Lytechinus pictus: one gene and its partners. The protein of the gene in region 3 purifies or fractionates together with the protein of the main gene of each other region. This does not show direct contact. Links are inferred from orthologs where the notes say so. Each region holds a gene or a part of one and is shown on either strand. Other genes may lie near its edges.

Evidence for each region.
Region 1: the proteins of GTP-binding protein 4-like (region 3) and mRNA turnover protein 4 homolog purify together in Homo sapiens (affinity purification with mass spectrometry; 3 studies listed by BioGRID and IntAct, counting the BioPlex papers as one, with this or other methods). This does not show direct contact. The link is inferred for Lytechinus pictus from reciprocal best matches to the Homo sapiens genes GTPBP4 and MRTO4.
Region 2: the proteins of GTP-binding protein 4-like (region 3) and ribosome biogenesis protein NSA2 homolog purify together in Homo sapiens (affinity purification with mass spectrometry; 3 studies listed by BioGRID and IntAct, counting the BioPlex papers as one, with this or other methods). This does not show direct contact. The link is inferred for Lytechinus pictus from reciprocal best matches to the Homo sapiens genes GTPBP4 and NSA2.

Annotation. Positions count from the first base shown.
Region 1 is NC_087245.1:41,221,078-41,228,873, forward strand, and holds the start of mRNA turnover protein 4 homolog, read left to right. Parts: upstream 1-4,675; 5' UTR 4,676-4,756; coding exon 4,757-4,784; intron 4,785-7,796. UniProt on the Homo sapiens protein: Component of the ribosome assembly machinery. Nuclear paralog of the ribosomal protein P0, it binds pre-60S subunits at an early stage of assembly in the nucleolus, and is replaced by P0 in cytoplasmic pre-60S subunits and mature 80S ribosomes.
Region 2 is NC_087249.1:25,097,200-25,105,548, reverse strand, and holds the start of ribosome biogenesis protein NSA2 homolog, read left to right. Parts: upstream 1-5,022; 5' UTR 5,023-5,192; coding exon 5,193-5,195; intron 5,196-8,349. Other genes in the region: GON-4-like protein, read left to right, coding at 92-194, 629-781. UniProt on the Homo sapiens protein: Involved in the biogenesis of the 60S ribosomal subunit. May play a part in the quality control of pre-60S particles.
Region 3 is NC_087247.1:48,314,063-48,322,464, forward strand, and holds the start of GTP-binding protein 4-like, read right to left. Parts: upstream 3,171-8,402; 5' UTR 3,071-3,170; coding exon 2,993-3,070; intron 2,707-2,992; coding exon 2,603-2,706; intron 806-2,602; coding exon 568-805; intron 1-567. UniProt on the Homo sapiens protein: Involved in the biogenesis of the 60S ribosomal subunit. Acts as a TP53 repressor, preventing TP53 stabilization and cell cycle arrest.

The DNA of each region.
Region 1 (7,796 bases), on a different chromosome or scaffold from region 3:
CACAGTCATATTTCATTTGGATCAATTCAAAATTGAGTGGTGTTTTGGGGGTAATGCTATGGTAACTGCAGTTCTGTTGTCCTCTGACAGTTGGTGTTGTAAGGATGTGATTGGCAGTGTGTGGACGTCATGTTATAAGAGAAAAAAGAAAGTTAAAGTGAGAGTGTTGGCTTTGAAATGGACTCAACCTATGAAAGTTAAAGTTTGTGCTGCAGAAACTGGTGTGGTAGTGGGATGATAATGATGATGAGGAACAGGGCCGGTATTCAATGCTACTCTTAAAGCCACAATTTCAAGTATATTTTACTCAGTATTTTGCAAAAGTAAAATACTTATCCATCTTTGGTATTCAATTCATTTTTTTTTTGCTAAATATTTTGCTTAAATGTAAGTCAGCCATCTACTAGACTTAAGTCTACATATACAAAAATGATACGCACAGAAATACATTCACACATTTGGCACTATTTGGCTCAAAATTTATAACATCACAATGGGTATTAGTATTTAGTTCAATTTGGATAAGGTAAATTCTGAGATCTGATCTGCATACAAGTTTAAGCATTTTGATAAGCCAGCCAAATTGCTAAGTAAAATACTTACAAAATCAAAACTTAGAATTTAATAGGCGGCCGAGGTATTATTTTCTTCCAGAGGACATGTACAGATTTCTTGTTGACAAAGGATGACATGATGATTATTTTGCAAATATGGCTTATTAAAAAATATATTATGTATATTCCATTTCAGTGACAATTGCATTTTTGGGGAGGGGATATTACGTATTTGGGAATGGAAAAGTTCAAAATTAATGCAAACTTAACCTATTACGCAGGGGGGGGGGGGGGCTCTGAGCTCTGCGATTTAAAAAAAAAAGTCTTTTGCATGTTTTGAGACCAGTTTTGCGAAGCCCGGGTACTGGGTTCTGAAAATTACCAAACAATTTGTAAGTGCATATCAGACAAAAATGGCTCAAAATTGTGATATTTGTGTACCACGTCAATGGAATATGCGTTTTCAACCAAAATTCATGAATGCCTAATTGTTTTTAGTTTTGTTGAACTAAACTGATTTATTTTATGCTGTTACGAGAGTCCGAGCATCGTTGAAAAAAAAACAATGCAATACAAAGGTAAAAACACAAGAAATACATTATCGAAGAACACCACAAAGAGTTTCTAAACCAAAAATTAGAACATTTGGAGCTTTATTTAGGGAGTTAGAGGAATAGGTACGTATAGTATACTAATTATGCACAAATGAGCATAATCAATTAATAGCAATTTGCATGAAATAAATGACTACACAATTTTGTGGATTATTAAAAGCAATTGCGATCTTTTTCTTCACTATTCATTGTTTTTAGAAACCTCATTGTAGACTTGCCTCATGCACCTCTCAAGATGGCTTCATCATTTGAATTATATTCTACACTTATCATTCTTTAAAAAAAAATCATTGTAGACATGCCTCACCTCCTCTCAAATTGCCTTCACCATAACTTGTAATACAGTTTATTCTTTTTATAAACCTCCATTAACTAATTGCCTCACCTCCTTTTAAATTGGCTTCACCATAATTTGTAATACAGTTTATTCTTTTTAAAAACCTCCATTGAAACTTGCCTCACCTCCTTTTAAACTGGCTTCACCATAATACAGTTTATTCTTTTTAAAAACCTCCATTGAAACTTGCCTCACCTCCTTTTAAATTGGCTTCACCATATACAGTTTATTCTTTTTAAAAACCTCCATTGAAACTTGCCTCACCTCCTTTTAAATTGGCTTCACCATAATACAGTTTATTCTTTTTAAAAACCTCCATTAAAACTTGCCTCACCTCCTTTCAAATTTGTAGTACAGTTTATTCTTTTTAAAAACCTCCATTGAAACTTGCCTCACCTCCTTTTAAACTGGCTTCACCATAATACAGTTTATTCTTTTTAAAAACCTCCATTGAAACTTGCCTCATCTCCTTTTAAATTGGCTTCACCATATACAGTTTATTCTTTTAAAAAACCTCCATTGAGGCTTGCCTCACCTCCTTTTAAATTGGCTTCACCATAATTTGTAGTACAGTTAATTCTTTTTTTAAAACCTCCATTGAAACTTGCCTCACCTCCTTTTAAATCGGCTTCACCATAATACAGTTTATTTTTTAAAACCTCCATTGAAACTTGCCTCACCTCCTTTTAAATTGGCTTCACCATAATACAGTTTATTTTTTAAAACCTCCATTGAAACTTGCCTCACCTCCTTTTAAATTGGCTTCACCATAATACAGTTTATTCTTTTTAAAAACCTCCATTGAGGCTTGCCTCACCTCCTTTTAAATTGGCTTCACCATAATTTGTAGTACAGTTAAATCTTTTTTTAAAACCTCCATTGAGGCTTGCCTCACCTCCTTTTAAATTGGCTTCACCATAATTTGTAGTACAGTTTATTCTTTTTAAAAACCTCCATTGAGGCTTGCCTCACCTCCTTTTAAATTGGCTTCACCATAATTTGTAGTACAGTTAAATCTTTTTTTAAAACCTCCATTGAGGCTTGCCTCACCTCCTTTTAAATTGGCTTCACCATAATTTGTAGTACAGTTTATTCTTTTTAAAAACCTCCATTGAAACTTGCCTCACCTCCTTTCAAATTTGTAGTACAGTTTATTCTTTTTAAAAACCTCAATTGAAACTTGCCTCACCTCCTTTCAAATTTGTAGTACAGTTTATTCTTTTTAAAAATCTCCATTAAAACTTGCCTCACCTCCTTTTAAATTGGCTTCACCATAATTTGTAGTAGTTTATTCTTTTTAAAAACGGACTTGCCTCGCCTCCTTTTAAATTGCCTTCACCATAACTTGTAATACAGTTTATTCTTTTTAAAAACCTCCATTGAAACTTGCCTCACCTCCTTTAAAATTGGCTTCACCATAATTTGTAGTACAGTTTATTCTATTTATAAACCTCCATTGAAACTTGCCTCACCTCCTTTTAAATTTGTAGTACAGTTTTTTTTTTTTTAAACCTCCATTGAAACTTGCCTCACCTCCTTTTAAATTGGCTTCACCATAATACAGTTTATTCTTTTCAAAAACCTCCATTGAGGTTTGCCTCACCTCCTTTTAAATTGGCTTCACCAGCATAACTTGTAATACAGTTTATTCTTTTTAAAAACCTCCATTGAATCTTGCCTCACCTCCTTTCAAATTTGTAGTACAGTTTATTCTTTTAAAAAACCTCAATTGAAACTTGCCTCACCTCCTTTTAAATTGGCTTCACCATAATACAGTTTATTTTTTTAAACCTCCATTGAAACTTGCCTCACCTCCTTTTGAATTGGCTTCACCATAATTTGTAGTACAGTTTATTCTTTTTTAAAAACCTCCATTGAAACTTGCCTCACCTCCTTTTAAATCGGCTTCACCATAATTTGTAGTACAGTTTATTCTTTTTTTAAAACCTCCATTGAAACTTGCCTCACCTCCTTTTGAATTGGCTTCACCATAATTTATATTCTTTTTTAAAAACCTCCATTGAAACTTGCCTCGATCGCCTCCTTTTAAATTTGTAGTACAGTTTATTCTTTTTAAAAACCTCAATTAATTGAAACTTGCCTCACCTCCTTTTAAATTGGCTTCACCATAATACAGTTTATTCTTTTTAAAAATTAACCTCCATTAAAACTTGCCTCACCTCCTTTTAAATTGGCTTCACCATATTGTAGTACAGTTTATTCTTTTTTAAAAACCTCCATTGAAACTTGCCTCGCCTCCTTTTAAATTTGTAGTACAGTTTATTCTTTTTAAAAGCCTCAATTGAAACTTGCCTCACCTCCTTTTAAATTGGCTTCACCATAATTTGTAGTACAGTTTATTCTTTTTAAAAACCTCCATTGAAACTTGCCTCACCTCCTTTTAAATTGGCTTCACCATAATACAGTTTATTCTTTTTAAAAACCTCCATTAAAACTTGCCTCACCTCCTTTTAAATTGGCTTCACCATAATACAGTCTATTCTTTTTTAAAACCTCCATTGAAACTTGAGCTCACCTCCTTTTAAATTGGCTTCGCCATAATATTCAGGTAAGGTATATTCATTCTTTTTTTTAAAAACATCATTGTTCACTTCCCTCACCTAGATCATTTGGCTATATATAATACCTTTTATTCTACACTATTCTTCCCTTTAAAAAAACCTGATTGTACTCCTGCCTCCCCTGATCTGACATTTGCCTCTCAACGTACTGGAAATAGATACCCTTTTTTCAATATTTTTGTGTTTTTGACACCCTTATCACGTTACGTACGTAACGTGCCCTCTCTTGAAAAAGACATCCTTTTTACGTGTTTTTTTGGTCGCGCATGGTATCCACTCGTCAATATAAGTGGCCCCCCGGGCGTACTGTACATAGTGTTATTTTATTATCTCCTTATATCGGAAACTTCGTTTTACCGAATTGCCATGCACTCTCCGACGCGTTTGAAGTCTTAGACAGCATGGCATACTACCAGCCGATGGTACACACACGCACACACACACACGTTATTTGACAACTTGTCTCTGGAGCCAAAGTTCCTCGCATATAACTATCTGCATGCCTGCACGCAGTGTGTATTGAACACACACGACCACGATCTAATGAATATTCATCGGCGAGACTGACGTCATTTTACGAGTCTCCTTTCAAACTTGGATCATAAGTGCCTACCTTAAATACCCCAAACTCACGTGTGTGCAGGAAAGTGTGAATTCAAAGACAAGAAGATGCCGAAATCAAGACGTGACAAACGAAGTGAGTACAGTTTTTATGAAATTCAAGTTTCATTTATTTAATTGTCCTGTGTGTGATTTGGTTAGAACAGACAGGTGTATTTATATAGAATTCTTTGAAATAACGCACGAAAAACATTTTCAGTTTTTCATCACGGTCCCACTAACCGACAATGACGTCTGTTAATACCGTACGTGTCTATGAATTCTTGATATTGCTGTAAAATGGTAGACTGAGAAAATGTTGAGATAGATACCCATCCTATAATTCTTGATTACAGTGCTTATAGATTTTCAAAATGTGAGGTCAGAATATCAAAAAATTACAGCTCACTGAGACTCATACCGAGGAGATCATTTATTGGTAGGGTGTCTGGAGAAAAAAATTATTTTTCTTATTTCAAGAAAATATCACATTTTCTTTGTGAATTTGAAGAGAAATGACCTTCAGACTGACAGAAATGTAACATTTTTGAAAAAAATCCAATTATTGGCTGCAAAAAAGAAGAATGAAATTGGGTAAATTTTCAGCATTTCTCTGCCATAGACTGTGTAGTTAAGAAATGGACACACACAAATCCAAATTTTTAGCTTCCGAGAGCTGTTATAAATTTATTATTAATGCCAAAAACTTGTCCATAAAGAGTCCAATAGGATTTTTTATGCTCTATCTGATGGTATGATTTTTATAAAGATTTGGAAACCAGATCACAATGAAAAATTGCGACAAAGTGAAAAAAATTGTGCAAAACAGAAATTTCATTTTCCCATAGAAAACGCATGGAGAAATGGCAATTTCAACACACACAAAAATAAGGGTTTGCAATTTATCTCTAAATCCTTATTTAAAATGATCATATAAACTTGTCCTTACTGTCAGAAGAAGCTCCTGAATTTTCTCTTTCCATACATGCCAAACACAAGTTAATAATCAATTCAGATCACATTTTTCTAGTAGCCTGAACTTCCCCGAAAAAATGTGCCATATTTTCCCCTAAATTAGCCTGTTTTAGGCTGACACTTTTCAGTGTGGCTTCAGACACCCTATTATTGGGGTGTGGAAACGACCCACAACGAACAACAACAACAACAACGGTAGACCTAAAGCTTCAGTCTTTGTATTTGGTTGTTCCGCTGAACTCTGTTGGCTCCACTCACCAATACATTGTCTTTCACTTGGTGACAGTACGATTTGCGTACTGTCGCCAAGCGAAAGACAATGAAATCAAGATAGGGTGTCTGAAGCCACACTGAAAAGTGTCAGCATAAGAGACTAGAGAGGCTGATTTAGAGGAAAATATGGCACATTTTTTTGGGAAGTTCAGGCTACTAGAAAAATGTGATCTGAATTGATTATTAACTTGTGTTTGGCATGTATGGAAAGAGAAAATTCAGGGGCTTCTTTTGACAGTAAGGACAAGTTTATATGATCATTTTAAATAAGGATTTAGAGATAAATTGCAAACCCTTATTTTTGTGTGTGTTGAGATTGCCATTTCCCCATGCGTTTTCTATGGGAAAATGAAATTTCTGTTTTGCACAATTTTTTTCACTTTGTCGCAATTTTTCATTGTGATCTGGTTTCCAAATCTTTATAAAAATCATACCATCAGAAAGAGCATTAAAAATCCTATTCGACTCTTTATGGACAAGTTTTTGGCATTAATAATAAATTTATAACAGCTCTCGGAAGCTAAAAATTTGGATTTGTGTGTGTCCATTTCTTCACTACACAGTCTATGGCAGAGAAATGCTGAAAATTGACCTAATTTCATTCTTCTTTTTTGCAGCCAATAATCGGATTTTGTTAAAAAATGTTACATTTCTGTCAGTCTGAAGGTCATTTCTCTTCAAATTCACAAAGAAAATGTGATATTTTCTTGAAATAAGAAAAATAATATTTTTCTCCAGACACCCTAATCAAGATAAACATGGTGCCGGTGGCAAGTTTTTCCCCTTTTCATAAAATTTTTCTCGTTTTTTGAATGAATTCTTGTTTAAAAATGAAATCACTAACGTAGAAATGTCGGAAATGTAGTTGTATCTCATGTACATGATTTAGGGCTAGATCTTTTAGAAAGAAAGTAGAAATCTTGGGGGCGAAAGTTAGAGGTTTTTTGGCGGTACGTGTAAGTTAGATGAAATAAGCATACGTTACTGTGGGGCGCTCTTCCCGAGCATTTCATGGGGCGGTCTGTACTGTCCGATCTTCCCCTTGCATTGTAGTATAGTATCTTTACTTTACATCTCGCTTTTCTCCTTTCATAAAATCATGCACACACGTTTCGCCCTATGTACCGCCATCACTTTAAGTTGTGACATGACCATGATGACAGCAGAATGACATGAGAAATAGAGAAAGAACGATAAGAGTATTAATTAGCAAGTAATTAGCGGAGAAAATTATGTGGAACAATTCATTTCAAAATCACAATTTCTTGAAAACTATCAGAATACGGTATCATGTAAAACTAAAGGGCTACGTCGCACCACGGAAAATCCGGTTCCAAACAAGCATGTCCGGCTCTGCTAGCCCTAGCTAGCTGCGCCGGCACGCTGGCAAATCTAGCATGGCTGGCTGGCGGGAAGTGGAAATGCGCCAGTGTCTATGCATGGACATCATCCGGTTATCAATGATAAGATCGTAATTTGCTGAAATGATTCTGAAACATCCTGTACCTTTGAGGATTGATGATGAATGATGCAACAATTATTTCCGATAATTGTTCCCCACTTTTTGTATGATTTTTTTCCCGGTGTCGCTCGCGCTTTTCATGTGATGAATGAAGAGCTTGTGGAATGCACGCGTGTCACATGCAACGCGTGTTTTCTACACTGGCGAGAATGTTGACTGGCATTGCCTTTGTTTGTGAAAGCTGGAGTGGAGCTTTCAAGTTAGAATATTGACGATGACTGAAATGATAACTTACAATCTTTTTATTAGCTAAAATCTTGCCCAGATTTATTCTCCATTATCTAATTGATGACCTGATACCCCTTTCACAAACCCAATTATGCGGATAATATCGGCATA
Region 2 (8,349 bases), on a different chromosome or scaffold from region 3:
CAAGCTGCATTCATATACCAATATTAACTTCTGTGACCTTGATTAAAGTTGAAAAACATTGTTATTTTTAAACTTATCTCTTCATTCACAGAGATGCAGACAGAGTGTTACTTCAGGCCTGTCAGGAGGAAGGAGCTAGTGAAGAAACTTTCATCAAAGTAGCTTCTCATTTGAATGATAAAACACCACAACAGGTATGTACAAGCCAGGGTATCATGTAATTTCCAAATCTTTTCTATTGAGTTTTGTTCAGTTTGTATAGACATATGTAAGCCATTGTAGAGTTTTATTTGTGAAAGTCCATCTGCATTGTTGATAATTATAGCTGAATTTTCAGTTGTATCATTAAAAGTATTATTTTTAATATCAATTATGATATCATATGGGATAGTATTCATAGAAAATGTGATGATGATGATGATGATGATGAATGATGATGATGATGATGATGATGATGATGATGATGATGATAATGATGATGATGATGATGATGATGATGATGTTGATGATGATTATGATGTTGATGATGGTGATGGTGATCATGATTATGATGATTATGATGGTGGTGGTGGTGATGATGTATAACTAATGCAGGATGGTTTGATATTTTTTCATTTTTATTTTGAAGGTTAAAGAGAGATTTGCCACTCTCATGAAGTTATTTCACCTGAAAGCAAGTAATGATGATGAGCCAAGCAACGATGAAGAAGATGAGGAGGAGGATGAAGAAGAAAGTGGTGAAGAGGAAGAGGAGAATGTGGATGATGAAACAGAAGTCTAATAAAATGAAAATCCAGTGAGAGCCTGGCAATGTTTGGGGCAAGGAAGAATATGTGATACAAGGCAATTGGCCCCCTTGCTTGATAAACAACAACAAAACAAAAATAGTTCTTGTACGTTGCAAAGAATCTCAGAAAATTGCTATTGAGACAAATACAAATGTATTTGCCATGAACAGAAAAGGAAAAATATTGCTCTACAGAAATTTTAATTTTGCAACTTCAGAAACACAACTTGATTTTCAGAAGCGCTTATTTGGGACCTGTACTTGATTCTTATAATTGTGACAAAACACAATTCCTTCTGTAAATGTGCATGTGTTTTCTTTTCTCTTTTCTTTCAAATCTACAATTTTTGTTTGCTGTGGGCTGATATGGTTTTTTTATATGTTTTTAAACAGTATCCCATATTAACAACTCATTTTTTAGTCATTATTCAAACTACCCCCTTTCATGTGGCCCTGTTACTTCTTAAATACAAGACCTATGCTTTGTTCTTGAACTTTGAATTGTTATCAAAATTGCATACAATATTTAAATGAGAAAATCCCTGTTTTGTCAAGAAAGAAATTTAACTGAATTATGCTTTATCATGATGCCATATTTTATTTTGACATCTGTATTTCCCCTTAGACTGCCACATTCAAAACTGGTTTGAATGACATCATCCCTCTCCTTTGATTTTTGGCCGATAATTATTTGGCGACACTGTACAGTAGGTCCTCTTGTAATTGTGTCAGTTGGTTCATTTACAGAGCTGTTTTCTCTACAAGTGTCACAATACACACTGCATACTAGGTCTTACTTCCTAAATGTCCTATTCGAACATGTGCTCTAGAATTAAACTTATTTCTCTGGGTTGTATACAGACTTATGGCAAGTTTTTGAGAATTAATGCCACTGCTGTGAAAAGTATTTTGTATACTCGTTTTGAATTAAATGGCAAGTCCACCCCAGAAAAATATTAATTTGAATAAGAAAAATCAAACTAGCATAACGCTGAAAATTTCATCAAAATCTGATGTAAAATAAGGAAGTTATGACATTTTAAAGTTTCGCATATTTTTCACAAACAGTAATATGCACAATTCAGTGACATGCAAATGAGACAGTCGATGATGTCCCTCACTCACTATTTCTTTTGTTTTTTATCGTTTGAATTATACAATATTTAAATTTTTACAGATTTGACAGTAAGGACCAACTTGACTGAACCATATAGTATAAAACAATGCCAATTCCACATATTCAGGGAGGAATTAATCATTGTTTCACTTGATAATGAGGAGAAAATAGAATATTTCATATTCCATATAATAAAATACAAAAGAAATAGTGAGTGGATGACGTCATCTGCCTCCTCATTTGCATACCGGTCAGGATGTGCCTGTAACTGTTTTATGAAATTAAGCGAAACTTTAAAATGTCATAACTTTCTTATTTTATATCCAATTTCGAAGAAATTTTCAGTGTTATGCTTGTTGGATTTTTCTCTTTTTAGTCATATCAACTGTTTGTTGGGGGTGGACTTGTCCTTTAAATGAAAATAGAAGATGGGCTTATTTTACTATATACATTGCTGAAATATGTGTGATTTGTATAGATATGTGAGAAATGTAATCCTGTTTTCTAAGTTTTGTATGTTTGTTTGTTTTTTGCTCTAAAGAAATTACCCAAGCTTGCCAAAATAGTATTGAATTAGAGTGAGTGATTACAGCTATTTTGGAGTGAAACTTAATTTATTCCCATGATTTAGGTATTTGACTTTGAGTGAATGCTTATTTCATAATTTTTGTATTTTTATTATTCATCTTACATGTTCTTTTTCTGATAACATGAAGGCAGTTGATTAATATTTTTTTAGATAGAATTGTGATATGATAAGATTAGATATTGATGATGTGTGCAAAAATCATGGTGGTTTGCATTTAATCTAATTTGTAATTCCTGCCATGTATACCTGCTACTCAATTAAATGTATAAAGATTGTCTTTTGAGGAATTATATTCTAGAAATAAAGATCTTTTTTTGACCAGTGACTAACCAGTTGTAGTATATCCATATATAAATTGCACATTATGAATTCACAGTTATTTTAGGAATTCTTTCCTCCAGAATTCACTCAATGATTATGTCTGCTTTTTTCCTCTTTATTGACATTTTCATCACATGATTGTGATTTGTTTATTTATTATGGTAAATCTAATTTTAGTGCCTCCCTTCTCCCAAGATATAGACATATGGTGATATAATCTTGGTATTTATTTTGTTGATGACATATCATACAACTCCCATCATTCATGCTGTACATTTTGTTAAGTATATCTGCCTTTTGGTGCAATTTTATTTGTAATGAGTGGTAAACTGCTGTAAACAAAAAGTTTGTTAATTGCTATATTTTGTTGGTCTTCTGTACATACTTGTAAATACAGGAACAGTTTTGTATTTCTGATCTTGCAAAAAGCAAATATAAACCTGAGAGTTCTGAATTATGGAAACATCTGTCCTGTCTGGCATTTCTGTTTTGTTCTAATGATGAATGTAATCATTTGAATTGGTAAATGAATAATCAAGTAAATTGAGTATATGAAAGTGATAAAAATATATATGTATGAAATGGATAATTATAAAGGTTCACATTTTTTGTGGTGTAACTGCATGATTAAAATGACAAAAAAATCCCAACCAAAATGGAGGAAAATCTGGTTATCAGCCAGGACAGTCTTGTGTTTTTATGTGTGAATGAAAGGGGACAGCTGTGGAAAATAGGGTATAATCCAACCCATATAGAAAGTTTTTTTTTTTAGGTAAACAGAGAAGCAGATGGGTGAAAGTTTTTCCCAAAATTGGAAAAACGATAAGAAAGTTTTTAGCAGTTGTGAAAATTGTTGTCACTTTACTTTTGGGGTTTAAAAGTGGCTGCAAAGATATGTCATTAATGTGATGTATGGTAAGAACTGATTCTTTGCAGGTTTGCTTCAATATACAAAATGACACAAATGTCTTTTTTTTTTTAACTTTCACTAAAATTTTTCCTTTTTGAGTATTAGCTTAATACAATTTCTATGTTAAATTTGATTATCGCTCCAGTGGATGGCTAGAAGAGAAAAAACAATTTTTTATGACTAAGTACAAGATGATCCAATGAAAGGAAAAGTAGTCTCCACATTGATCGACGGACCAAATTGTCAATTTGAGACTTTCTAGACTTGGTGATCTCAATTTCGCTGTTATCTTTAACTTATTTGTCACCATTTTTTTCCTACAAATTTCAAACATTCTATTTTCCTTATTTTTTTTCTTTAACTAAAAAAAATATTGCTTACGATTTGTCTTTAGTGCGTTATTTGATGACACTAACCATGCAGACTCTGAAAAGCAATTGAAATACTTTATGTTCAGCTAATTATTCTGTCTGTTCCATTGAATCGGATTACAAACAATCTTTTGCTGGGCTGCATATGACAAACCCGGAGACAATGAGATGGGAGGGATTACTAGTATCTGAGACTATTTTTCATGTGGCTATTTTCCATCCAAATCAATGTATTGACTCTATTGATTGAGAACATTGGAAGGCAGGGCCTTAATTGGGAAACGATGCAAGTTCAGGGGGGGGGGGGCATTTCATAAGGCTATTTGTAAGTGAAGAGTGAATTTAAGAACGACTGGTGATCTTGTGGTAAATGATATTCTCAAATGTTCATTGGTGATTGAGTATAAGAAAGGTTCAACAGTCATTCTTGAAATTGCTCTTAATTACAAACAACTTTATAAAACACCCCAACAATGCAGGGGGGTATCTACTGACGTACAGGGATGTGGGGATGTGACACTCTTTATAGGTCACTTTTTTGTGAAAAGTCCTTAAAGTTGGCTGAAAAATCCTCCCAATAGCAACCCCCTTTGGGACATTGAGTGATATGACTTTATTATTATTACTGGTATTGTCAAATGAGAGGAAATCCTTAAAGGGGAATCCATCATTGGTCTTATGACATTTGTGGGACAGGAGAAAATCATGAAGTTGTGTGATTTTTCTTTTTCGTCTATGTATTTGGGAAGGATTCCCCTTTAAACATTAATCTCTTGGGGAGAAACTGAAACTCCTTGATAATGAGTACCTTTTTTCTGCCTAAATGTATACCCATATATGGGTTTCAGCTGCACACCCCATACGAAAAAACACTTAATACCCCCCCCCCCCCCCCCATCCACGGGGTCGTTGATCCGGCCAGCCAGCAGATCGAGCTAGCGCTCGCGAGCGATAGTTCGTTGACCCTTCTGCGACGCGTGTCTCTGCTGAGTTAAGCTGCTGTAACTGTGCATGTGGGTTTCATGTTGTGAGGAGCTTCACGATTCCTTTCTAATTTTTGACTGTTGAGTTGATTTTATCAGCAAAGGTTCCTCAAAATGGTAAGAACGATAATATTCATTCAATATGATAAAATTTCGATGATATGTGATTTGCGAACGATATGAAAATCAGCCACTTTTAAAAGTGAACTTTCGTAGTGGAAATTATGTGTTATCCCACGTATTGGAAACAATGTCATGTAGGCCCTAGATCTAACGTTACATGGTGTTGACACTGCACTGCGCAATTTTTTGCAAAGCTCAGTGGCAAATTGTCCATGCATAGCCATAGACTGTATAAAGTATAGGATGGGGGTCGGGTGTCCGGACACTTAATACTTTTGAAGCCTTCTTTTTTGTCTTTGGATTAGGCCTACACTGTAATCATCTTCTATTTTGTTCTCTATGACAATTAGTAGAGGCGCTGGTCAGAAAATTGGGATCGTCCCAGACAGGGACTGTCTCAGTTTATAAGGATTTCTTCACACAAGAAATCTAGGAAAGTTCATTCACCTGTCAAGTACCGACACCAATCAAGTGTGCTAGTCAATGTAAACATATCAGGTTTCATAACAAGACTATTGGAAGACGGTAAGTCATGAAAAATAGACGGTGAACTGGTCTAGGGGGAATTGAGGTCACTGCACAGTGGCAAATTGTCCATAGACTGTGTACAACGGATAGACCGTCTCGGCTCAGCGAATCGGAGACCGCTGATTGGCCAATCGCGCAGATCACGTCATGACTATATGGTCGCCAAAATAATTCAGACTGCGTGCGAAAGTATCGATAGTGATAACGCAAGGCTCCACATTAACTTTTTTTGGTGGTGGCCCATTCGGGCCACCAAAACCTTCAAATATTTTTTTTTGGTGGCCCGATATTAAAGTTTGGTGGCCCGAAAAAATTAAAGAAAAACATTAAAAATGAATAAATGGGTATAAATGGTTTAACCACAGTAAAAAAAAAAAGGAAAGAAAGTAATGTTGTAAATCGGATCAAAAATCAGATCGAAAATCGGATCGGCAGTTAAGCTTCTAAAATCGAAATCGAATCGGCGATGTTTAAAAACAAAGGAATACATCAAAATGTTGTTCGCGGTCGCGCGCATCTTCCTGACAAAGTCACAAAGACGAATGGAAGTCGCCAACATGCGCGATCGTTTGGAACATGTTTTAAAGCCAGGGGTTTTGAGGTGTTATTGCTTTAAAATAAACCGAGTGATTTTTATTAGAAAGATAAACGTAAGACGCATCTTCCGAGCAAAGGCGCAAAGGAAAATAAAATGAAAATATTTCTCATAGATCACAGGTTAATGAACGATCGGCGGGACATCTTTTAGAAGTATTTTTAGGTGCTAGCGATTTAGAATTATTGGAATGATCTCTTACGACGCATCATCTTAAAGTCGCAAGTGCAATTAAAATGAAGTAGAAGACGCAAGCACGCACAATGATTTGAAATATGTTATTAAAATGTTTTGGGTAGCTAGCGTTTTCAAATTTGAAGTTCACGGCGGGGTCCGCTATCACCACGAGGTTGAAGAGAAGATGTCTATCATCATAAAGGGGGTAAGAGAGTAGCGCAGTGAGCTCCGTCGGTAATACGACCTTTTAAAGTTCACGGCGGCATCCGTTATCACCACGAGGTTGAAAATAAAATGAATATCATCATAAACGATGTAAGAGAGCAACGCAATAAGCTCCGTCAATAGTACAGTCTTTAAAAGTTTATGGCGGGGTCCGCTATCACCATGAGGTTGAAGAGAAGATTTATATCATTATAAAGGGGGTAAGAGAGTAGCGCAGTGAGCTCCGTCGGTAATACGACCTTTCAAAGTTCACGACGGCATCCGCTATCACCACGAGGTTGAAAATAAAATGTATATAATCATAAACGATGTAAGAGAGTAACGCAGTGAGCTCCGTCGGTAATACGACCTTTCAAAGTTCACGGCGGCATCCGCTATCACCATGAGTTGGAAGAGAAGATATCTATCCCCTTAAACATCGCCATAGATAATACCGCGACTTTCTCCCTGAATAATGCGACCTCTAAATAGCTAGCACCTCAAAAACAATCTTGAAATATGTTCTGAGCGATCACGCACTGTAACCAGATCTACGCCGATTTTTTATTTTCGATTTTTTCCTTCAAGGGGCATGATCGAAGATCGGCAAGTGATTGCCGATTGTGGTGAAATCGAATGGAATCGGTTGCCGATTGCAAAATCGGTTACAAGCTTAAAAGAAAGTAATAAAACGGCAAAAAAAGTGTGAGAAAATTCCTTCCCTCTATTTGCCAAAATGTTGGAAAAATTCACATTTCATATTAATGAAATGCCTTCCCAAAGTATTTACTTTCTCAAGAGTTGTTTAAGAAGTCACTTATGAACAAGAAAGAAAGTAACTGTCTGTTTATTTTTGGCTAGAAAAGACCGGAAAAGACACAGCTTCGAAAGAAACCAAGTAACAACATTCATACAAATGCACACGTGGGACTGTGATGTACTCACCTATGTGTTTTTATGTGTATTATTTTCTTTTTTAGTCAAAAGAGAGGTCACGATTCCTCTTTTTAATGCTTGCAAATAATCAGGATACACCAGATTTTAGCAAAAAGGTCTGTAGAAGGGCATTTTATTGGTGTAAAATGTGACTTTGACTTGGATTTTCACAGTTCTGTGGAAGATTTCTTGGCAGCAACATTTCGTATTGCAGCTCCCTGAGTCTGAATAGGCTGCTAACGCACAGCTGCTTCAAGCATGCAAAGCTCACGCCAGCCGGCCAGCGCGGCCGGCTGGATAAAAGCTACTTAATGCTATAGCGGTAGGCCAACTTTGTGTGTGTGTTTGTGTGTAGATCACCAAAAAGGGAGCATGACGAACTGGCTTGCAATTTGAACTGTAGAAAGTTGATAAATGCGTGCAAAATGGGGAGAAAAATTGTGCTATTCTGAAAATTATTGGTTGCCCGATTCGGGCCACCAAAACTTAATATTTTTTCAATAATGGTTGCCCGAGGTGAATTTCTGGTGGCCCCGGGCCACCGCTAATGTCGAGCCTTGGATAACGATATCCGGTCACATTGTCTACGCGGGAAATGGTCTTGGTTCGTGATCGGATTGCTCCAGTATTGATTGAAAATTATCGAGACTCTGGAATTTTGTGCATATTCACGCGACGCTCCGAAACCCGGAAATCAATTGACTTTGT
Region 3 (8,402 bases):
AGACATTGTGCCGAACTCAACCCAGGTGAGGTGAATGGGTATCCAGTAGGATTTATTCCTTGAATGCTTTAGCACCTATACGGCGGCTCAGCTACAGACGGGTAATAATATACCAAGTATCAAGCGCAGTAGTATATATGCAATTATATTTGCTACGCTATATAAATGGAACATATTAATTATTATTATTATTATCTTTCACCCAGCCAGCGACAAGGGAGACAAGATCTTTTCCTAACCTAGTAGTACTAACAGCATTGCCATAGACATGATTGAATAAACTGACTGAATTCTATACAAGTTACCTTTGACCTGCTTAAACAACAATCTAAATAACTCTTACAATCTGGTTTCAAAACATACTATGCATAAATGTAATGTAAGTTTCAATCTATGTTATAGTAGATGTAGTAATCAAAGGTTGAATTGGGTTTTGTCTCCATGGACAAGGGTGGTGTGATTTACCTCACACTAGAAGAAACTGCCCAATTACTTTTTTCTTCTGCTATGCATAAATGTAATTTTCAGCCCCCCCCCCCCATAGTTATAAAATACATATGAACACACCTTATTCATGAAGCTTGACTTGCCTACGTTTGGAAAACCACAAAGTAGGAGTGTGCGTGTGTTTGGATCTATAGAGGGCAGCCTTGACAAATGCTGCCTGACCTGCTCCAGGTACTCCAGACTCTGTCCTTGTCTCTTCATGATGGTGCACATTCTTCCCATCCCAGCTCTTTTCAACTGCTTGCATCGGTACAAGGAATCACCGTACTTCATCAATCTGCAATAATCTCTAGCAACACTGGAGAAAAGCACATGGCAGTGTGAAACAAAATACAGTAGTGTGAATCATAAATCATTTTGAAAAGAAAAAATAATAGCAAATTCAACAGGGCTAATAATTAGGAAAAATCATTTATGATGACTATAATAAATCAGTCACACAATCTTTTTAATGATATCTTTATGATAGCATTCAGAGCAGAAATTCAGGTCTTTTCAGATTCCAGAATAGATTTGTTCATTTCTATGGAAGAAAAAAATAAATACAAACTGTTCCTTGTATTACTAGAAATCCATATGGTATTACTGAAATGTGATTGGCTTGAGATAGCACAGCAAATAATTTTGGCAAGATTCAGTCAACTCTATATTAGTTCTCTTTGATTATTTCATACGACGTATAATATGAAAGATTCTCAGTATGATAAGCTCTCCCAACCATTGTGCAAATTGTTATATATAGCCATGACCATTGGATATAGCAACTATTTTTGCATGGCCTTTTGTGTATAAATTTCCATAGGCCAAGATGCACAAGAAGTAAGGCATTTAAGTGCTACCTGCATTGGATATTTTGACTGTGCTTCATGTTTGTGATAGATGTCCAATCTAAACAGGTTACTAGGTTCCGTTAATTTGTATCCATTATACAGTGTGTATCAAAAACACACTTTGAAAAATTCCTGGGAATTAAAAAATATACAACATGTGGGTAATTTTTCACATATAATCTTGGGTTTGGGTCTCATCTATCCAATAAAAGTTAAAGTTTTTATAGAATGTTACACTTGAGTGAGCACTGTCCATTTTTGTAAAGCTCTCAGAAATCTGTTTGCGCAGAAATGCTTGTTTTCACGCTGTGTCAAGGGGAAAGGGCGAAATCAAACTTACCCTGCGAAACATTTCTCATACAATTCCCTTGCACTTTTAGTCAATTGAAATAAAACAGATACATTCAAGCATTTTGTAACAACTTTGCCACCGAAATTGAAATTTCAATACTTAGTAAGCACAACCTTTACCCTTTTTGTGCCAGCTGGATCTGAGGACATAACTGAATCAGAGCAAAAGTTTATATCAGACATCTCCAGCATTTTACCACGAAGTTTTTATCATTTAAAGTGGGTTTACATTTCATTTTTTTATTTAATACGTGTTTCTCCACACTTTTCCCAAGCTTGACAATGATTAACAAAATGAAAATCATGCCTAAACCATTTTATGTAAATCACAGCTCAGTGTAAAGCAAATATTGTCACGATGGCCTCGGTGTGTTGGGGAGTGGGGTGGGGCGCAATGCACTCTTCGAAGTGTTTTGGGCAAGGAAACAAGTTTAAAAAGGTAAAAGATATCTTCAAATCAATTTTACTAGCTAAATTCCACGTGTTCTTCATTATTAAGGTTACTTTTATTCGCATAACTATTTCAAAGTTCTGCGCAAATCATTTTTCACTAACTTTTCAAAAGTAAGTGGTGCTCACTCAAGCGGAAATATTTTTCTACAGTTATATCGTCATTTGCTTAAATGGATCTGTACTAATGTTAGAATGTGAACATATCTTCAGGATATTACAAATGTATAATTTTACACGGTTTTTTCTAAGTGTAAACTTTTTTTGATACACACTGTATAGTGCATGCTTACCATGAATTATACCTCATCTCAGGCTAAGGTCTTGGTAACATACAAAATCCACTTTAAAAAATTATAAATCTGTAATTTACCATTTTGCAATACATATACAGAATATCAAATTCACTACAATGTTTAGTACATTACACATGTTTACTATAAAGAATCAACTTGAGTACTTACTTGTCAATGAGATGCAGGGCTGTGTTAATCTGACCCAAGGCAAGCTTGTAATGATCTTTGTCATAGAGAACATTCATCAGATCAGCATAGAATGGATGGACATCCTGTGTGGGGTGGAGGTGTATAGATACTTAATATGGACCTGTTTTCATTAGAGGTACAATTGATTCAATCATACTAAAAAAAAGGAAACCTACAACACCATCACCATCATCATACATTTTAGTTCAAAGTGCTACATCTAAATATGACTATCACTACTGCATACTATGGCAATTCAACTTCCTTTTGTTTATATATAGTAAATATATAAGATATCAATAGACAAGTCCGTATCAAATTAAAGTAACAGTGTATATCATAACACTTAAATACATTTCTCCCACTCACTTCTAACTTGGGAAAATCCTGGATAATCTGTTGAAGTTTGTCATGGTAACTCTGCTGTGTAAACTTGATTTTTCTCATGTAAAATTGTCGTATCCTGCTGATCTTATAATGCTTGTGGACAACTGTTGGAGTCTTCCGTTGGGTCTTTGATAGCACAATATCAATAAAGTCCTAAAATGCAAAATAAAAAAAAGATTTCATCAAAGATCAAAATGTTTAATACACATTTTCTGCTTTTACATACCATGAGCTTGAATTCAATGATATAAAATATGCACATATATCTATACAAAAATAGACTACATGTACTATGTTCAGTCCTCAAGAGCTACAGTTATTAATAAAAAAAAATAACTACAATTTTAGATAGCAGAAATTGCATTATGTGAAAGTGTTACAGTGCAGTGGTTCTGTTTGATTTGATTTTATTTCATTTTATTTTATTCACCAATATAAAAATAAAAAATAAAGATTTCTGAAGATGTAAAATTAGATTGCAAGTTTCTTGCAAATACCTCTCTCTTGACCGATCGATCGAGAGAGATAAAAAATAAATAAAAGCCTAGCTAAGCACTAGTAACACGAGCTGTTTATGTTTAGTTCATGGGCGCCCTCGTGCACGTTTGTATTAGTTTACAAAGAATTGAAAGAAATACAAAAACAGAAGGAAATAATATGGAGATATACAAGAAGAAAAAATTGACTGTATCATTATCCTGGTATTTATTTCAATTTTGATTACTTTATAGACGAGGTCCCATAGAATTGAATATTGTAAAATGATTGTTGTGAGTCGCCGTGTCGACCGACCTGGACTGAAAAACAACATTGCTGGTCTTTGCTGGGCAGCCTGGGCTAGCTAGCGCGCGCTGAGGCTCCAATAAGAGGAGTTAATTGCGTAATGCTTTCAATTTCGAGATCAGAACGGACCCATTTCGTGGTACAAAGTCACCCCAAAAAACATTTTCTCTCCGGAATAAAAGGCGAATTTGCAAATTGTAAGTAAATTCACTCTAAGCTAGGTTAGTAGTTGGCATATATTTTCCTGATTTGAGCCTGTATAGTGTGGGGATTGCATAAATAATATAACTACAATTTTAGATAGCAGAAATTGCATTATGTGAAAGTGTTACAGTGCAGTGGTTCTGTTTGATTTGATTTTATTTCATTTGATTTTATTCACCAATATAAAAATAATATAAAATTACAATAACCCGCACCCGTTGCGGTACGGGTTAACCTGCCGGTATGCCCCCGGTCGCGGGTTGGGCCGAGTTCATTCTCAAACCCGCAGACCATCATACGAAAAAAAGGGAGAAGTAACGACGCATAATAAAAACATTAACAATGAAAATTGAGTTAGGATCATGTGCTTCTTACGTGGCGGATTCTTTTAGAGACGTAGATATTTCCTTTAAAAAAATGCCGGCATATTTTTGTCTTGTGAACAGTGAACAGGACTGAGACAGTTCGACATAATACATCGAGTTGCTCTTTCAAAGGAGCGCCAGTGCAGCGCAGTCAGAGAAAGGAATGTTTTACGACTGGGAGAGGGGGAGAGAGAGAGAGAGAGAGGGGAGGGGATGTGTTCGGAGAATGTAAACAGATGCCAGAATACATTGCGTAATCATGTCTGGCAAGGAGCGAGTAATAGGCCACGTGGCAGAGAAAGGGATGCTTTATGACTTGGAGTGGGGCGAGTCAAGCCTGTTTCCACGGCAACGCTCGCTGTTTGAGCTCGAGGGATTTGCGGTGAACGGCAGTGAGACAGTTGTTTCAACCGTTTCATTTTTCAAAGATAAATTGACTGGCGGGTTAAAACCCGACGGGTCAGCGGATCCCGTTTGCAAATTATTGGATTATACGGGACGATACGGTTCGGGTTTTCACTTGCGGGTTACAACATTAATAATACATGTATAATACATAACAACTGCATCGCGCGATTCAATATACATGTAGCAGCAGTGCTGACTTTGAAAACTACCCGTACTATAAAATAATTATTCACAAAAAACACCATTCATATAATGATACAATACTACGTTCATTGACAATAAATTACATTTGACCTTGATCATGCTACCTTAGACTTGTCAGTAATACTTGATTACCCCTATAAAGGCTATATCCACATTTTATAAACTATATCTTGAAAGTTATGATAATAATCTAATAATTACCTCCAGAATGGCCAAAGCTCATTGACCATAAATGACCTTTGACTTTGGTCATGTGACCTGTAACTCACATGAGATGTTCAGTGATATTTGATTACTCTATGTCCAAGTTTTATGAACTAGATCCATACACTTTTGGAGTTATGATGGTTATTCAACAATTACCCCCCAACATGGCAACAGTTCATTGACCTTTGACCTTAGTCATGTGACCTATAACTTGCACAATATGTTCAGTATACAAATAATGAATGTTTATGAGTTCAATGGATAGAATACTTCATGAGGTGAAAGATGAAAGAGTTGAATGGATCATTCATTTCATCTTTCACTGAATGAAGTATTCTGTCCATTGCACGAATGAAGGAACATTCATTATTTGGTTTATATGACACTTAAAACTAGATTATTTTCATAGGAAATTTATCAATTTCAATGCAAAATATGATCATGCAGTATGAGCTCGGTCTGTTGATTGTCGATTATGTTGAGTACAATGCGTGCGTGCAATGGACAAAATCGTATGGATCCTAAATTGCACGGTCGATGACATCATTGTAAAATGGTCCGAATGATCGATATCAAACAACCAATCAAATGCTTAGGATCTATCTAGGTGTCATAACGAAACTTGATTACTTTCATGTCCAAGTTTTATAAATCAGATCCATAAACTTTCAAAGTTCATGATGGTAATTCAACAAATACCACCAACATGGCCAAAGTTCATTGACCTTTGTCATGTGACCTGAAACTCGCACAGGATATTCAGTGATACTTGATTACTCTTATGTCCAAGAGGCTGTTCTCACTACGTTCCTAAAACTAGTTTACTGGAAACTAGTTTAGTGGAAACTAGTTTAACGCGTAGTGAGAACGGTCGAAGCGGTCTTGGAAGCGATTTTCCAAACCAGTTTGGAAAACCACCTCGCGATGTAGTTTTCAAGATCGCTTTGCCTCGTTAAACTGGTTTTAGCGTAAGTGAGGACACAACCGTTCTTCGGGAAGCGATCTTTGCACATTTTGAGCGCGCTACTCCACACGACAGGTGTAGAATGCCTATGCTGCGGTTTCGAATTTCGCGCGAAACGTGTCACCCCACTGAGAGCATTTCCACAGCAACAAGAGCGCTTTACATGAAGTGATTTTGAAAACCACTTTCGTGTGATCAAGTGGGAACGCTAGCAAAGCGATCTTCCAAAGTGGTTTCCTGAATCGGTTTCCAGTAAACTAGTTTTAGAAAGCGTAATGAGAACGGCCTCCAAGTAATATGAATCAGATCCATAAACTTTCAAAGTTATGATGGTAATTCAACAAATACCCCAAACTTGGTCAAAGTTCATCGACCCTAAATGACCTTTGACCTTGGTCATCTGAAGGAGCGAGGGGTTGACCCCATGTAACACCAACCCCCCCCCCCCCCGCCTTGTGTACGCTACTGGTTGGACGATATATATATGTGTGGATTAATTAAAAATTTACATTTAATTTTCATTTCATTTATTTATTTCAAATTCTCATTAAAAACATACAACACAACATATAATTCAAATTGAAAGAATACATGCACAGTATAAAAATACACAAAAATGGAAATTATAAATAACAAGAGAGAGAAAGAAAACCGACCCCAAAAATGAAAAGAACGGTATAGGAACAAAAGGACAAAACAAGAAAAGAAGAATAAATAAAAGCAAAAAAGCAAAAACAAATAAATAGAAAAGGGGAAAAAAAAGAACAAACCAGAAAATAAAATTGAACAGAAAAAAAATGAGGGAGAAAATAAAACAAAAAAATAAGAAAATAATTAACATGAAAATAAGCTCTTTTCTTGAAAAAAAAAACCCATAGGGTTAGGGAAAAAGCAGAGGCATTTAATTTCGTGACTGGTCGCCAGCCAAACCAATCCAAGAACCTGGCAAAATTTACGCCACTAGACTCATGAATTATCACAAGATCCTTTCTACTCGACGCCTCAGACGATAGCCTTTGTCAAGGCCTTCAGTTGTATTTTCTCCATAGGATCTTTAGTGAAATAGGGGGTCTGATAATAATACGAACATAGTCAAATCACATAATCATTTAATATTTTACTTGATTTTCTTTTAATCAAATTATTATTTTACCTGTCATTTTTGTTTTCTGCCTGTATGGTGATAAAAATCGATTTATCTCGTGTGCCTTCTCACAAGGCTTTACCAATTCTCCATTGCTTCCTGCACGACCGACTTTTGATGCACACCGGGTGATTTGCCCTAGTTTTGGGGCATCATTTCCAAGTTTTGAGGGCCGTGAGAGTTGCACATAAATTTGTGAGTATGTAGTTTTCCATTCTTACATTTTATTAAATTTCATCCTTCCTGCTGTGATTCCCAATGCTTCTTGGATTTTCATCTGGTGAGTTCGAGTACAACTCTGCGCAGCCCGAACACAGCGTAGACTACCTCAGGCAATGGTTTGTATAGGCTACACTACACTTCACTACCGCTACTCTCCGCTCCACCTACATGTATCCGAACCATCGGGTGACAAACATGACAATCGCTCTCACACCAAAAAACAAAGACAAACTGTGGCACTTTATGTATAGAAAGCCAGCACATGAAGACCTAAACATTCAACTGACTACTGTTACTAAACTTACCACCAGACACACTCTCTCCAAGTTGCCCTTTCTTCAAAACGTCTAAAAACCGGTGATTTGAAGCCGAATCGCGGTACCCTACACGTATTACATTCTCTGCCGAATCGAAAATGGCTCATTGCTCATGCAATGTTTTGAAATCGGCAGTGAATTATTTATATGTGAGAGGAACTCGATGTTGGCTCTAAATCACTAATTTTGAGGCTAACCGGAGGATGGATAATATGGACTGAAATTAAAATGAAAAGTAAGAAATCAAGCTTCTTATTCTTTTCAAGCTAGTTTCGGCGCGGCGCAGGGTTTTTACAATAAGTATGCTTTTTTTTTTTGCATGTTCGGGTAGGTGTCGCGTAGTGTAGCGGTAGTGAAGTGGAGCCTGCACAAAAAATCCATTCTTGAGGTAACCTAGGCCCCAATGACCATGTTCGGGCTGCCGCAGTAACCAGCTGCAGCTGTCTAGTAAAGTAGTATAGTGAGTGATTGTATTACCGACCGGCCTTGTATTACCGAACGTGCGCATCATACGCATCAGAAAATAATTCCAAATGCTCAAAATTCTGCAACATCCTTTCAAAGAGAACTTAAA